Linked DNA regions of Caenorhabditis elegans. The protein of the gene in region 1 interacts with the protein of each later gene in a pairwise test. Each region holds a gene or a part of one and is shown in the gene's direction. Other genes may lie near its edges.

Region 1 (3,661 bases):
CCGTCCTTGACCATTTGCTTCTTCTTGGATGCAACCGGTCCAAGTCCCCACTTTCTTCCGTACACATCACGCTCCATAATGACACGCTTCGACTTGGCAACGACTCCGTGATCGACTGAAGCGATCGTTGATGTGTTCATCTGAGCAATAGCGATGCAGATGGCTTCTCCCTTCGTCGACATGATGACGATCTCCTTGCCAACCTCGATGTCATCGTCGTAACGAAGAATTCCGGGAATAAGGATCTTGGCTCCGTAGCAGATCGCGTTGATGCAACTGTCCTTGACAACAACTCTCTTGTGCTGGGTGAGAAGAGCCTCAAGTGGACGAACGATGTGTCTCATGTAGCTCTCGTCTTTCTGGGTGTCTAGGAGATACTGAGCATCGAGAACGTCGTGCATTGTGACCATATTCTCGTTTTCATCGCAGATTCCGGATCTGTTTCTGCGAAGCTCTTGCATTTGACCTCCGCATCCGAGGATGAGACCGAGATGCACACAAATTGTACGAACGTAGGTTCCCGACTCGCAGATGCAGCTGAAATTAAATGAAAACTAGAAATTAGATTTATTATAAGGATTCTTACTTGAAAATTCCCATCTGTTGAGCTGGATCATACTCGATGAACTTGTTCTCGTAAACGGTACGAATACGAAGCTGACGCTTGACAGCTGAGATCAGTGGTGGGCGTTGGAAGAGGGCTCCGGTGAGCTTCTCGAGGGCTTGCTTCACCTTGCGATCATCCTCAACTTCCTCGTGGAGCTTGAAGATGCAGATGTATTCCTTTCCAGCTCCTTGCTGCGACTTGGCCAAACGAGTGGTACGGTCGATACAAACGATCAGACATCCCGATACTTTTGGATCGAGTGTTCCACTGTGTCCGGTCTTCTCGCAACGAAGAATTCTCTTGATCCAGGACACGACTTCGTGAGAAGATGGGTTCGATGGTTTGTCAAGATTGAAGAATCCAGACGAAATGTAGTTCTTGATGTCACGCTTTAATGGTGATACTCCCTCGACGTGTGGTGTGTAGTGATTGGTGCGCACATTCAATTTGTCGTAATTCTGAAATAATAATTTAATTTTTAAATGAGATCACTCAACTACCTTGAGCAAAAGTGGCCACTGGGAAGCATCGAGCTTGGCGGTTTCGTTCGAGGATGGAAGTTGGAATGATCCCTTCTGTTGAGCCTCCTGAAATAATGAAAATGTACTCAATATTTAATAAATGGCTTGAAAATTAAAAACTAACAGCTAGATCGTCTCCCTCAAGCTTGGAACGCTTATCCTTCTTGCCCATGATGAGATCTTCGCTGAAAAAATAACATTATTGACAAAATCCAACAGTTCTGAAGCGATTAACAAGAGTTTAAAGATTAATAAGGTTCTAATGAACTCCAAATATGCCTCATAAGCTCGTGGAAAGTGTCAAGAAGCAGAAAACCTGCCAGAAAACTATCGATTTTTTGAAAAACGAGAGAAGAAACCCCCATTGGCAGTGTGCCAGACGAAAGAGACACAGGCTGCGTGTGTGCCCCTATGCCTCAACACACACGGGGTTCTACGCAAAAACATTTTCGAATTTTGTTCATTTTGGCGCGCAAATCTGGCTTGTTGCGCCATTTTCGAATACTTTTCTTGTCCCTGGCGCCAAGTTTTGTCATCTTTTTTCGGTTTTTTCATTCATTTTGATGCATTTGCGTTGTTTCCTCAGTTGGTTCACTGTAATTTTCGAGTTCTCTCTGATTTTGCTCCATGAGCAAGCTCTGATCACGAGATAATCTCTCTGCTCAGCTTCACGTCTCTTCTAAAACTTTTTTGCTCAATTCTAAATACACATTATCCGAACATTCTTGTTTTTGAAATATTTATCCACCGCTTCGTGATTTTCAACTGAAGCTTCGGTAATACGTAGAATTTCGCAATAATTCGCATTTTCGAAAAGTTTCGTGCTATTTTCCTCTTGACAATCTTTTTCCTTCGTATTTTATTCTCCTCATCTCCTCATTTCAGTCATGTCTGGTGGAGACGGCATCCCAACTTTCAAGCTTGTCCTTGTCGGAGATGGAGGAACCGGAAAGACTACCTTCGTTAAACGTCACTTGACTGGAGAGTTCGAGAAGAAGTATGTTGGTAAGTAATTCAGGAATTTGTTTCTCCCAGTTCAATAATTGTTTTCAGCCACTCTCGGAGTCGAAGTTCACCCACTTGTCTTCCACACCAATCGCGGACAAATTCGTTTCAACGTTTGGGACACCGCCGGACAGGAGAAATTTGGTGGTCTTCGTGACGGATACTACATCCAAGGTATGTTAAAATTCGAAATTATAACTTCTGAAATGCCCAATTTCCAGGACAATGCGCCATTATCATGTTCGATGTTACCGCTCGTGTCACCTACAAGAATGTCCCGAACTGGCATCGCGATTTGGCCAGAGTATGTGAAAACATTCCAATTGTTCTCTGCGGAAATAAGGTAATCACTAGCTGAAACTGGCCAATATATTCAATTACAAATTTCAGGTCGACGTCAAGGACCGTAAAGTGAAGGCCAAGACCATCACCTTCCACCGAAAGAAGAACCTCCAATACTACGACATCTCCGCAAAGTCGAACTATAACTTCGAAAAGCCATTCCTCTGGCTCGCCAGAAAGCTGCTCGGAGATCCAAACCTCGAGTTTGTCGCAATGCCAGCTTTGGCTCCTCCAGAGGTATTTTTAAATCCATGTTCTTTCATAAGCAATATTTTAATTTCCAGGTTCAAATGGACCCAGCCATGATTGCCGAATACGAAAAGGATCTGGACAACGCCGCCAAGGCTGATCTTCCAGATGACGACGATGATCTTTAAACACTTTAACCTTTCAAAATCCTTGTTTTCAAATCTCACAAAACCATCCCACCTAAATTTACCATTTTATACATTTCATATGCCAATTAATTTCTTAACTTAAAAATAATTTGCATACCCAACCGGTGTCTACAATTCAAAGTGCTGGCTTGGGTAGAAGAAGGATTGTACATTTGCTGTTTGATCGTTGTGCGAATGAATTGAAGAAATGGTTGGCTCATCACTCTCAATCTCCATGATTTATTTTATATTTTATGTTCGACTAAAAAATTTTAAACAACTTGTTGCAATAAATTGTAGCACCATTCGACAAGTGAATTATACCGGCAATAGGGAAAGTGAGCAAATGCAGAGGGGGATTTTTTTACACATATTTAAAGCACTTTTGATGATTCTGTGGGAGACGCGTCTTGAAAAGAATCGAGTCAGCACGGAATTGGGAGAATTTCAGAGGATTGTAGCCGTAGATTTTCGTGAACAATCGCATACATTCGTGGCGTTTCTCGAAATGTGTCCCTTCTTTATACAAGCTTTCCGTGCAAGTTGGACATCTGAAAATTGAAATTATTATTAGATTAGACTCATTTAAAATCTGGAAATTACTTGAGCGTCCATCGAGAAGTCGTTTTGATTGGCGGTTTTCGTGTGAGATGAGAAACTAAATAATTCATAGCAATGTCCTCGCAGTTTTTGATGCTATTCACATGTTCACGAATTTCAGCTGGCATTTCGTAGGTGTAAGCAGTCAAATAGTTCTGAAATTTTTAACGTTTTAGATTTTATACGGGTTTTACCCAGACGCGGGAATT
Region 2 (6,795 bases), on another chromosome or scaffold:
ATTGGAGAGTTGACCGTAATTATCTGAAAGTTCGAACAAAAGAGGATTTTTGCGTTAACTTCATTGTTAGATATGACATACTGCTTCATAAAGATTGTTTAGTAATGGATGTATGAAAAGCGTCTAAGAAATTGCAAAAAAAAGTAACGAAACTTGATTTAAAAAAACACCGATACATTTGCATAGTTACTTTTTGATTATGAGTATACTTGGCAAAACTTGGAAATTTTGAAAAGCCTTCAAAACGGGATTAATCCTACCGTATTGCACTTCTCCTAAACTTTCATAAACTTGTTCCGATGAACCAAGGTTTAATGCCAGCTGGGAATGATATTTACAGAAAAGATAACACTTTGCGCTTTACAACACTGACCACGCTAGATGACCAAACAACCTTGAGAATAGAACGTTGAAAACGGAAAGGATCAAGTAGATTCAGTGATATGAGAATGAGGAGTGTGTGTCTTGAATAGGTGGTAATAAATTGAACGGAAAATGTTTTGATATCAAATAAAAACAAAATAGTATCAATTCTCAAGGATTAAACGTAAGCGACCAAAGATCAAAAGTGCACAACGAGCGGGGAACGGTCATCGAACCAATGAGTAATTGTAAATCGAGTGGACAAGAGAGCGGGTGTCCTCGTACACGGGGTTTCCCCGCCTGAACAGAGAGTGAGAGAAGATGCAGGAGAGAGGCCATCATTCATTATGCAGAGAGTGAGAATGAGACCCAGTTGTCGTCGTCGACGGGACCGATATTTCGTTGACAAAACACAGGCGGTGCGTGCAGACCGAAAGGGCCATCGGAAAATCCTGTCAGTCGATGTTTGAGGGCTCTATGACGTGGCAATCCTGATCAATATGGATATACCGGGTTATGAATATTGGAACAGCTTAGAAAAATTTGAGAAGTTTATATTAATTCACTCATGTTCACGACCTTGAAACATTTTTGAAAACGCCATTTTTCAGATACCTAAGTCCACTCTGTTGTATCTATGTACAAAGCCAACTTGTTATTTTACTGTTAGCAAAACAGTTAACTTACAATTTTTCCTATTTCTTTGGTGTAACTATCTAGTCTATGATATAGTCTATAGTCTATTTAGATTTGTGTCGCTTTTTGATCGTAGATCGTAAAAATCCATGAATTTTTTTTGAACAGAAATGATATTCGGTCATTAGCACCATAAAAATTTTAATATTTTCCCAACTAGCAAGCAGCGAAACTCAACTATAAAACCCTAAATTTTCTATATAAAAAATTAGATGAAAAAAAATTCAGATATGTTTCAAATACAAATAATTTTCAAAAAGCTTCCAGAAGCTTCCTTCCTCTTGACAACTTTGAAACCATTAAAAAATGTTTTTTTTTACGAAAATCCACTTTTGGAAATATTCCTTCGGCCTCCAATCTAGTGAAATAATACTTTCAGATTGAAAGTCAAGGGTTCAGAGTTGAGATAAATTTTTTTATGATGACCTAGTCCGAATTTAGTTTTAGAATGACCTACTACGTCTTGTTTTGAAGTCTCATAGTGATACTGTTTTGGCCCAATAGTTGTAACCTTGATTAAAATTCTACGTTTACCAATTAATTTTTCTGACTGTGATTTTTATCATAGAGTTTTAAGTTATTACAATATGGTTCTGTATTATGAGACAATGCTTATAAAATAGTTCGTTATAATTCTCAAAAAAATTATCTGTACCACAAATTCCTTGACTAAATTATAGTTGGTATTTAGTTGTGATACTATTTAGATAAACTATTTTGATATTCAAAAACTATCAACGTACTACAGCTGAATAACTGAAAACAAAAACACGCGGTAAACACCCATTTTCAGTTAGTTCCGCCTTGATAAATATAAAATCAATAGTCTATCAAACTAAACTATTCAAATGAATAAGTGCTCCTTTGTGCTGTGTCCGTGCCAGTCTCCCTGGCCACCGTAATCTTTTCAACGCCGCTTGCCGCAATTTCTCTATCTTTCGAATTTCTTTCAACTATTGCCATTTTATGTTTTGTTTATCTGTTGGAAAAAGGAATATATATGTTGACTTTTGGGAAGAAAACTGAAAAAAATTGAGTGTGTCAGCAAAAAAACCCCAGTGTCGTCAGTTTGTGAGATTATTGTGTTACGGTAGCCGGCCAACGTCAAGGCTGTCTGTTTATTTAGAAAAGCGAAAAAATGCAAATTTCATCGACATCTCGACCAGTTTGGGAAAATCAAAGTAAACTTGGACACGTCATATATCGACTGTATTCTGTTAGCAGCTGTCAATCAAGGTATATCTAAATCATTCCAAGAATACAATTGTTTCGAATGCAATCGAAAAATAATTTTATTTAATGTTTAGCAGAAATTCATTTAAAACTCTATAAAATTACTTTGTTAAAACAGAAAATCCGTAACTACTTTTGAAATTGGAACTTCAAATTTAGTTCTGAGTAATCCCACATATGCATATAAATATTTGCCTGCTTACAAGACAAAAAATCTATAACCCGTCTGGAAGAATGACCTACGCCTGATCTGTTATAATCGTGAAATAATTAGAATACGGTACCGGGTCTTGACAGGGCACTTTTTGTTAAGTGAAAATAGGTGTGCGTATTTAAAGATTACTGTAATTTCAAACTCTCGTTTGTCTGGAATTTTTTGGTAAAAATGTATTTATTTAAAACTAAAATAAAACAATCAAAAACATACATTTTAACAAACCGTGCAAAAAACTTAAAATTGATGAAAATTCCGCAGCAACGAAAGTTTGAAGTACTTTAAAGGAGCACATCTTCTTGCATTCAATAAAACTTCGTCGTGTCGAGACCAGGAACCGTATTTTTGACGCAAAATTTCGCGTCTGTGTTACATTATTCGTCAGGGAATTTAAAAGAATTCAATGGAGTTGGTTCAACGAAAATTAGCTTACATTTACGGTTCAAATATTTAATTACTCTCTTCCTGCAAACTATTTCAGACAAAAACCACTACTGTCAATAGTTCTAGATAAAAAAGGCTAGTCATAAAATAGGGTTTCAGTGGCCATAGAAACTTTAAAAAACACATGTAAAATCGTAATACACATTAAAATAAATGAGGTGAGAAGTGTAGGAGGGTCGAACAGTGGAAACTATGCTGATGAAGTCTTATCAGTGATCGATGGACGGTTTCAACGAAATGGAAACGCGCTTTTCCTTTTTGCTGATAACCAGAACATGGACATTGAAACTTTTGAGCGTGAGAATCTTCTAGACAAAACAATATTCTTGCAGAGTGTCGGGGAAAATGTAAGAACGAACAACAATTTATTGAGCAGAATAGTCCCATGACGAATCAATATTGCAACGTTTTATGATTGTTTCCTTTATAACACCGTGGGACACTTGACGGAAAACAACTTTAGAACGTTTATAAATGTCTTTATTGCAATTTCCAATACCATTTCAGCCATTTTTCAGTTTTATAATTGTTTCAAACTTAGTTTAAAAACAATGTTATGCTATGTATTTTATGGATAATTTTCGGCCTACAGTAGTGCGCAGCAAACGCGCCCTTTCGGACTAATTATTTCGCGGCATCAATAAGAATTTAAATATAGCGCTCTTTTTTGTTACGAATTTCAAGGTTTCTCACAAATAAATGTTAAGTTTTGCATGAAAGAAGTTTAAAAAAAATGCAATTTTCTACTTTTAAAATTTGTTCTCACTACTTTTTCGAATAAAATGCACCTTTGTCCAATTTTCCCGTGTGCTTTGCATGTGTCTTACCAGCTTTTAACCACAAAAACGTCCATCATGTCCTCAGGTCAAAAATGAGTTCGTCTCGTCACTTCAGTATCCCATATGACGAAGATGTTGTTCATTCAGTAATTTTGGAAAACACACCGTCGCCGCCGCCTAAACCTCCGAGAGGGATATTACGAAAAGAAGCTCCAATGAAGCCACAGCGAAGCGCGTTGAAAATCGAACCAGCTCGTGACGGTTTGTTTCAGTCAGTATAAAAAATTTCAATATTTTTTCTTCAGATGATAAGGAAAACAATAGTCAGCCTCAAGCACGATCCCAGTTCAAAGCAAAAGACACGATGGAACAAATGCAATCATATTTCAAAAGAAGCATATCCGTGCTCAGAAAATCTGAAGAACACTTCACAGGAGCCGAAGCTGCAGATATTCTTACAGCATATATCGAAACACATCGCAACGAGTTTCCACGCGACAATATCGGAAGAAGCAACGCTGTAAAACTGCTTGAAATTTGGTTAGAGTCGAATACTATTCAAAGTGTAGAATCTCATCAGAAGAAATTTGTTGATTCTGAACGTACATTTTACAGGCTTGGAGGAGATTCTGAATCGTGAGCAAACTTTTTATCTCGAATGATATTAAATTACTTGTTTTTATTTTTAGATTATATATTGTGAATACTCCGATCGCTTCAAGAAATCATGACGATTCTGCATCAGTTTCGCGATCAGAAAGCAGCCGTCGCAGTAACAGTATCAAGAGATTATTTTCTCCATTCGTTCGCCGGAATAGATCCAATTCTCGAGGTCGGGACAAAGACAAAGATAATTTAAAAGATGGAAGCTCGACAAATTTGAAATCGACGTGGAGTCTGTTCTCGTCTTCTTCAGAAAAGAATGAGAAAAAACTCAAAAAAGCAGAACAACAGTTGATAAAAGAGGAAGAAGCGGAAGTCTATGAATTGTCTCTCTTCCATTTACTCAGCTTGATTGACGTTGAGTTTCTCGAAGATGTTGCTCTTCCGGTACAAGATTCAAAGGTATTAAATACAAATATTTGATCATAAACTTACATAATTTCATTTCAGAACAATGCATCATTTTTATCATCCATTCTGGGAAAAGTTGGACTGGGTGCAAGTGAAGAAAGGCTTGACCCGCACCAGGAAGACCATATGGATTTGTTAATCGAAACACATCCATTGATCCGGGATGCAAGTCAATGGTTTCAGATGGCTCGTTGCTGTGCTCCATTACTTTATTTTGAGGCGAAACCTGTCGCAAGTAATCATAAAACAAGCCATAACGAACAATTATACCTTTGGTGTCGAGCAGCATTGGATGCAGTGAAAAACCGTCTTGAGAAGATGACACAGAACGGATCATCACCGTTGTTCCCATCAGAATTCGCTCCTCTTCTTACAAAGATTGCCCAGCAGTTGATTAACGATATGGATTCTGGTGAAAAATTGTCGACGGCAGTCATGTACATCTTCTTGATGGTTCCTCATCCTATACGCAAGACGATCGACCAACTTGTGCAGTGGCTACAACTTACTATGCGAACGGATGCAGTGGAAGATCTTAGAAGTCCATATTATTTGGGGAAAAAGGATCCACGGAGATACAAAGAGAATGTGAATGTCATAATTGGAGAGCTGTCTTCTTTTATTTTCCCGAGAGGATGTATGACAAATGTTCAACAAGACATTTTCATCGAGGTTTGTTACAGAAATTTTAAAACCTGAAAAACAGAGATTTTGGCTATTTTTAATTATCTGGAATTTTTAATCTTTTCAGACCCTCGTTGAACTGCGACAAAAAGGAAAACTAGGTCAACGCCCGGCACAATTGGAAAGCTCTCTTCGAGCAAAGTCAGTAAATGGACAAATTAAATGGCAACGAAAAGAGAGAAAGTATAGTAATTCACAAATTAATATTGTTTTGTTCGGAATGCTTCTCTCTGTTTTGCATGCCTTTTTTTCCTGTTTGAAATTGTATTTTTTAGCAATTAAACATAATTTTTCAGACACAATTCGCTTGAAGGTGACCTGACACCAGTGAGATATACAGTTCGAAGAGAATCAATTCGTTCAAAAACTTCGAAAAGTAAAGATGGACTGAATGAGACTGACTCAGCACTGGTAACCATGATCAATGTGAGTTTATGAATAGTTTGGTTCCTGTAATAATTTTATTGCTTTCAGTCAGTTATCGACAACAAGGAATTGTCGCTGACAGAAAAGAAGAAACAATTGATGAACTTCAAGAAATTCTACCCGAAATTGTACAACGACTTTTTCCCAGGAATGATATAAAGCAACTCGAAATTTTATAATCCCTAAATGTCTGTAATTTAATTGTTTTAGCTTCGGAATGATCTAGATTCGATTGATTTTATGCATACAAAAATGTCATATGCCGAATGCATCTACTGTACCATCTCGCTTTTACCACCACCCAATATCTCAATCGGGTCTTTACTTTCAGTAGAAAGTTGATTTTTTTCTGTTTTTCCTTTAATGAAATCTTTTGATTTACAGTTTTTTCTACATTCAGGTCGAAACGGAAACAATGCCATAATTGGCATTAGCATCCGATTTACAAACACTTACCGTACAATTGTTTTTTGATAGTCTAGAACATTGCAAAAAAGTTCCAATTTAGCAACAATTAACTTTTCGCTTGACTTCTTGAAGACACCTACCGTATAGTCTTCCGTATACGAGTTGCCATCGTGAATTTACGTCACTTTTTCTACTTTTCTCATCACAATAGCGGCTTCATCTTATTCTTCCGTCCTTCAAACTGTTTTTTTTCTGGCCAGAAAACTATTGCGCAGTAGTAAATCGGATAATCGAGTTGCATTCGTCAGTTTCTCGAAAATGAAGAAGCTGCGGCCGGAGAAGTTTGACGGACTGACAGACGGACGAATGGCGCCGAAGTCGACGACGACGGACACCTATTATTCAGCCGCACTTTAATAGGACACGCAACAGCACGAAGCGGTTTGCCACTGTCTTCAACCGATCCGCCCTCTC
Region 3 (6,188 bases), 7.3 Mb from region 1:
AGTCATTTTCGATCATTTTCGTAAAAATGTGACCATTTTCAACGAAATCTCTGATTTTTAATGGTTTTTCCCAATGAAAAAAAAAATATTTTTTGGTATTTTTTGAGTTTTCTTGTAAAAAACATGGAAAACATACAAAAATGTGATTTAGATGCGGAAAAAATATATTTTTTTTGCAATTAAATTGATGCAAAACTTCGAAAAAATGGCGAAAAATTTTAATAAAACCTTAAAATTCGTACATTTTAACGGTCTCACAGCTGCTGGAAATAGATTTTTATTTAAAAATCTCTTTGTTTCGCATATTTCTGCTGTTTTTGGTACATTTTTTGGATTCCGAACTAAATCTCACAAGAAATTGTTTTTCAACAGTAAAAATCCATTTTTCCGGAAATTTTCACGAAAATGGTTGGAAAATAATAGTTTTTCGACGATAAATTCAATTTTTCGAGAATTTTTCATGTTAAAACTCTCACAATAGAGGTATTTGCTGGATTTTCAGCTTTAGTTTCTCCTGATTCTCCGGTGAATCTTTTAGAAATCGACGCGGATGCATCACTGCCAGCAGGCTGCTCATTCTGCAATTTTATCGATTTTTTCTCAGTTTTCAGTGGATTTTTACCATCGCCTGCCGATATTGTCCAACTTGAGCGGCGAGTTGTTCTCCATACTGCTGAGCTGATTGTTTAAGCTTTCCGGCTTCATTATCCAGCCGGTTTTTCAGGTTTTTGAACATTTAAACCTGAAAAAATCGATTTTTTAGTGGGGAATTTGCAATAAAATCGAAAAAAAAAGTATTTTAAAGGTTAAAAACCATATTTTTAAGAAGAAAAAATCATGAAAAGTTGAAAAAAATTCATTTCAAAAAACAAAAACAGAAAAAATAACAAATTTTAATCAAATTAAGCCTGAGATCCGTTTGAGAGTTTTCTTTTCAATCCGTTTTCCTTCGATTTTCCCAGATTTTCACAAAGTTTGATAGTTTTCACGGACAAATCGATCATATCAACAGCGTTGGCAATGGATTTTGACAATGATTTCGGATCTTTTGATTCGATTTTTCTGAAAATTAACTTATTTATTTAGTTATTCGAATAGAAAAACTATTACATGACTACAAATTCGCCTTCGCTGCACACTTCCCGTCGAGCACCACTTCTTCTCGGCTCTTTATCGATTTTTATGACATCTGCCACGGTTCGAGCCGCTTCTTCTGTTCCGACGGATAATCGTACGCTTCTGGAATTAATCGGATTAGAAACTGCTGTTAGAACTTCAGAAAATGTTAATTTTGAAACAAAAACATTTAAAAAACAGTTTGTTTTTTGTGTTTTTTAGCGAAAAACTCACGCTGAGTGGATATATGCCGTGCTCGGAGAGCTTGGGTCACATTCGTCCTCTGAAGATGACGATGAGCTTGTGTCTACTTCCATTTTGTTGTTGTAATCACTAAAAAACACAATTTTGAAAGTTTCTGATGAAAAATCAATAAATTCGCTGAGAAAAGTGAATAATAAATGCTATTCCAGGCAAAATTGACATTTCAAAAACCGAAAAAGCCATAAAAAACGACGGAAAATATCAAAAATCCTGTTTTTCGCCTGAAAAACCGGTATTTTCCATGAATAATTGCCAACTCATGGTTAAAGGCGCGCGTGTCGATTTACGCAACGGGTCTCGCCACGGCGCAGGAATTTGAACTTTTTTCGAAATTTGCGAAGCTTGGCGCCCAATTTCTATTTATTTTAGACTGTTTCGCCATAGTTTTTCCGTATTTTTACGAAAAATAGCTGGAAAACATTTTTTGTGCGTTTAAAAGCATATTTTATACAGAAAAGACTAGTTTTAAAGGTAGGAAAGCCCTATTTTAAGCAGGGAAAGCGTTGGCGCGAAATTTCGAAATTCAAATCCCTGGCGCGAATTCTTTGAAGTATTGCTGCTAATTTTCAACTAAAGAGACCGCAGTATTCGTCTTTTTATCTCGCTTTAGCTTGAAGTCTCTTGAATTGTTTACCTGATATTTTTCATATTTCAGCTCTCCTTTCGCAATGAGCGATCAGAAGCCGGTAAGTGAATCTTTTCGAATGTTGCTCAACATGATTCACGGTATTTCAGAATATGGGGCGCATTGTCGCCAGCGTCGTGGATGTGCAGCAGTTGATGACAATGCAGTTTGACTCGCTTATCAAAAGCATGGACTCGTTGAAGGTATGCGATTCATGAAAAACTCAATTTAATACTTATTTTTCACAGATTGAGCACCAGACCGGCGTCACCCAGCTTCGCGATGATATTCGTCGATCCGAGGATCGGTTTCAGAAGCAGTTGTCCGATTTGAGCACTAATCACGGAAAAGAGCTCGAGAGACTTCATCAAATTATACACACTCTTCTTGCTCGTGATGCGAATCCTCTCGGCTCAATGATTCCTCCACAGCAGCTTCAGCAACAACAGCAAATGTTGATTCTTCAGCGACAAATGGAGATGGCTCATGTGCAGGCAGCACAAGCTCAAGCTCATGCTCACGCTCAAGCTCAAGCCCAAGCACAGGCCCAAAGCCAAGTTATGGCTAATTTGCTCAATGCTGCGAAGCCAGCTATTCCCGTTACACAGCCACTGGTCGCCACTACAGCACAAGCAAAATCGACAGTTCCAGCTTCTGGAGTTATTGCACCAAAGGTAACAAATTTTCGGGTTTTAGTTCCAGCAATTAAAAATTCAATATTTTTCAGACATCTCCACCAGAAGTTGTAATTCCACCTGCTAAGCCAACATTCTCTACTCCAACGCCTGCAGTTGTTCCAAAGCCAGCCACCACCGGATTCTCATTCGGCGGGACCAATCCAGCTACTTCAATCTTCGGTAAAAAGCCTGAAACTGCTTCCCCAGTCGTGGTTCCAGCAGCTAAAGATGATGAAGACGAAGAACATGATGAGGATTACGAGCCAGAGGGCGAGTTCAAGCCAGTCATTCCACTGCCAGATCTTGTCGAGGTGAAAACTGGAGAAGAAGGAGAGCAAACCATGTTCTGCAATCGTTCAAAACTCTACATTTATGCCAACGAGACGAAGGAATGGAAGGAGCGAGGAACCGGCGAGCTGAAGGTTCTCTACAACAAGGACAAGAAGTCGTGGAGAGTTGTTATGCGACGAGACCAGGTGACCATTTCGGAGGAGACACTCCCTTCAAATATTGAGAATGGAACCGAAGAATTGTGTTGGAATATTCAGGTTATTCCAATTACAGCTTTTTTCACATTTTTCGGCGTTTTCCTCAACAGAAAGATCTTAATTTAAATTTAAATACCTTAATTTAGCATTAAAATAAATTACAGGTTCTCAAAGTCTGTGCCAATTTCCCAATTCTCGGCTCGATGACCATTCAACAAATGAAATCCAACGAGAAGGCCTACACATGGTTCTGCGAGGACTTTTCCGAAGATCAGCCAGCTCACGTGAAGCTTTCCGCTCGTTTCGCTAACGTCGATATCGCTGGAGAGTTTAAGACTTTGTTCGAGAAGGCTGTCGCTGAGGCAAAATCATCGAGCAACGCTGGAAAGACCATCGACAAGGAAATCAAGCCGGCGGCTGAGGTGAAGAAGGAAGTCAAGCAAGAAGTTGTGATTCCATCAAACAACAAACCGGAAGAGACTGGATTTGGAGATCAGTTCAAGCCAAAACCAGGATCTTGGGAATGCCCTGGATGCTATGTTACTTGCAAAGCTGACGAGATTGAATGTGCCTGTTGTGGGACATCGAAAGACGGATCTGTCAAAGAGAAAAATATATTCTCTAAGTAAATATTCTATTTGAGTTATCTTAAAATTAAAAATTTAAATTTGCAGACCTTCGATCCTCCAGCCTGCCCCAGGAACTCCAAAAGTGACATTCGGATTCGGAGCATCTGCTCCAGCCAAGGAACCTCTTGCTCAAACATCTCAGTTCGGTGGATCACTCAGCGGATCTCCAAGCACTAGCAGTAGCATTTTCGGTGGTGGAACACCAAAGGGAACAAGCGTTTTCGGTGGAGGTGCTGCTAATACTCCAACTTTCTCATTCAACAAGCCAGCTGCCGCTGTCAATGCAACTACCCCATCGTTCAATTTCAACAATCCTGCAGCTTCAACTGCTTCTCCGGCAACCTCTACGACTCCAGGAAATTCATTGTTCGGAGGTGGACTCTCCAAGACTGAATCTACAGCTTCTTCAACTACTACTCCGTCGTTTATGTTCGCCAAGAATTCTGAAAGTGCCTTCCCAAAGCCAACTTTCTCATTCGGAAAGCAACAGACTCCATCAACGACTGCACCAGCTAAACAAGAAGAAAATAAACAGTCCGAGACGCCAAAATCCGTGTTCGGTAGTGGATTCACGTCTGGAGGTGCAACATTCGCTGCCCTTTCAGCCAACTCTGCCAAATCTGGCTCCATTTTCGACGCAGCAAATGTCAAGAAGGCCCAAGAAGAACTTGCTGCTCAGAAGAAGGCAAGCATTTTCGGGAGCAAGAACACCACGTTGAACACGACTTCTGCAACTTCACACGATGGTGATGAGACGAATGAGGATGGAGATGGGGAGTATGAGCCAGAAGTCGAGTTTAAGCCAGTTATTCCTCTTCCGGATTTGGTTGAGGTGAAAACTGGTGAAGAGGACGAGGAGGTCATGTTCTCCGCCAGATGCAAGCTTTATAAGTACTATTCGGATCTCAAGGAGAATAAGGAACGTGGACTCGGAGATATTAAGGTCAGATTTAGGATTTTATATCAAAATGAGCCAGCTTGGCATGTTCTTTTGATAGTTTTCATTAAAATTTAGTGATAAAACGTAGAAAATAACTTATTTCAGTTGAAACAGTTAAGAAAAGTGCTAGTTTTGCGCACTTTTCAACTGTTTTGCAAGTATTTTCTATGTTTTTTCACTAAATTTTAATGAAAACTATTAAGAAAACAACTGATTTTTGACTCATAGAGGCTAAATTTGAGAAAAATAATTTATTATTTCAGCTCCTGAAAAGCAATGACAACAAATATCGAATCGTGATGCGTCGTGAGCAAGTCCATAAGCTCTGTGCCAATTTCCGTATCGAAAAGTCGATGAAGCTCAGTCCGAAGCCAAACTTGCCAAATGTGCTCACATTTATGTGCCAGGTAGCAATTTTTAATTTCTTTTTATATAAAAATGTACTATAAATTCCTTATTTTTCAGGACTTCTCAGAAGACGCCTCCAACGCTGATCCAGCCATCTTCACCGCCAAATTCAAGGACGAGGCGACCGCCGGAGCATTCAAGACGGCTGTTCAGGATGCTCAATCGAAGATGTAATCCTCTGCTGATTATTTAAATTATTTTATTATTGTTATTCCTCCCCACCCAGCACTCTGTGTTAGTATTCCCCACCACCAATTTTATTTATGAACCTAGTTTTATTCATCCCCATCTGCTGTCATCTATAGTCCTTTAAGTGTAGTTTATATTTGTCTGGTAAGGTTTTTAAAAAAATAATTTCCTTATTTCCCCCCCATCTCTCTCAAAATCCCATTGTTCTCATAAGTACCCCCCACACACTATCATTCATAATTTTTGTCTTTAAAACTTAACTATATTGTTCACATTGTCCCGGCATCGATTTTTCCCCACTGGTGACAATCCAATAAATTGTGAATGCATTGAAGAATGAGATTTATTTTGAGGGCGGGAAACAAATAAATAGGGATTAGGAAAAAAAAGAAATAAATTATCGTTTTATTTGATCATCAAGATGGGTGATATCTGAGAAGACGAGAACTTTCGATGGAATTGTACGCTGTGGGCAGAGAATTGACATTGTTCGCTTCTCCAAATCAACCTGAAATTTGGATAAAATTGAAATTTCCGTTCGAGACCCAAAAACTCGACGAAATACCAACCTCCGTGACAAGACAAAATCCAAAAACCGGCGATTTCAGCACATTTTCGTCGGCTTTCGTGCTCCGCGAGAACGCGAACAAATGATGTTTAATGTCGGCACTGGGCTCCATGATAACCAGCTTTGTCTCATGATTTTCAACTTCCATTCCGAATGGTAGACATGAATCGGGCAGTTGCTCGGCTCCGATTTTACAAAGAGTGACGTCATCGAAGCTGACGTCAAATGTGAATGGGTAGAGATTGTTGGCACGGGTTCCGTAGAAATACTGCAAAAAAAAAGTT

The links.
Region 2: the proteins of ran-1 (region 1) and toe-2 interact in a two-hybrid assay, tested with the Caenorhabditis elegans proteins (2 studies listed by BioGRID).
Region 3: the proteins of ran-1 (region 1) and npp-9 interact in a two-hybrid assay, tested with the Caenorhabditis elegans proteins (3 studies listed by BioGRID).

Annotation. Positions count from the first base shown.
Region 1 is NC_003281.10:10,746,081-10,749,741, reverse strand, and holds ran-1 (GTP-binding nuclear protein ran-1), read left to right. Parts: upstream 1-2,013; 5' UTR 2,014-2,015; coding exon 2,016-2,133; intron 2,134-2,181; coding exon 2,182-2,307; intron 2,308-2,354; coding exon 2,355-2,476; intron 2,477-2,523; coding exon 2,524-2,712; intron 2,713-2,759; coding exon 2,760-2,852; 3' UTR 2,853-3,161; downstream 3,162-3,661. Other genes in the region: dkc-1 (Putative H/ACA ribonucleoprotein complex subunit 4), read right to left, coding at 1-537, 587-1,065, 1,108-1,194, 1,253-1,300; rib-2 (Exostosin-like-3 homolog), read right to left, coding at 3,217-3,403, 3,456-3,607. UniProt on the Caenorhabditis elegans protein: Ran GTPase system comprises ran-1, ran-2 and ran-3 and is essential in nucleocytoplasmic transport. Ran-1 is a GTP-binding protein that mediates the interaction between mitotic chromosomes and kinetochore microtubules.
Region 2 is NC_003280.10:6,516,688-6,523,482, reverse strand, and holds toe-2 (Target of ERK kinase mpk-1), read left to right. Parts: upstream 1-2,107; 5' UTR 2,108-2,295; intron 2,296-3,814; 5' UTR 3,815-3,821; coding exon 3,822-3,990; intron 3,991-4,034; coding exon 4,035-4,365; intron 4,366-4,418; coding exon 4,419-4,794; intron 4,795-4,842; coding exon 4,843-5,475; intron 5,476-5,554; coding exon 5,555-5,670; intron 5,671-5,783; coding exon 5,784-5,913; intron 5,914-5,961; coding exon 5,962-6,072; 3' UTR 6,073-6,295; downstream 6,296-6,795. Other genes in the region: C56E6.7 (uncharacterized protein), read right to left, coding at 6,626-6,795.
Region 3 is NC_003281.10:3,400,124-3,406,311, reverse strand, and holds npp-9 (Nuclear Pore complex Protein), read left to right. Parts: upstream 1-2,035; 5' UTR 2,036-2,048; coding exon 2,049-2,066; intron 2,067-2,115; coding exon 2,116-2,208; intron 2,209-2,253; coding exon 2,254-2,679; intron 2,680-2,732; coding exon 2,733-3,230; intron 3,231-3,334; coding exon 3,335-3,795; intron 3,796-3,844; coding exon 3,845-4,742; intron 4,743-5,002; coding exon 5,003-5,146; intron 5,147-5,204; coding exon 5,205-5,321; 3' UTR 5,322-5,668; downstream 5,669-6,188. Other genes in the region: golg-4 (GRIP domain-containing protein), read right to left, coding at 477-578, 623-736; F59A2.5 (L antigen family member 3), read right to left, coding at 903-1,062, 1,111-1,239, 1,351-1,433; Protein clpf-1, read right to left, coding at 5,734-5,844, 5,906-6,172.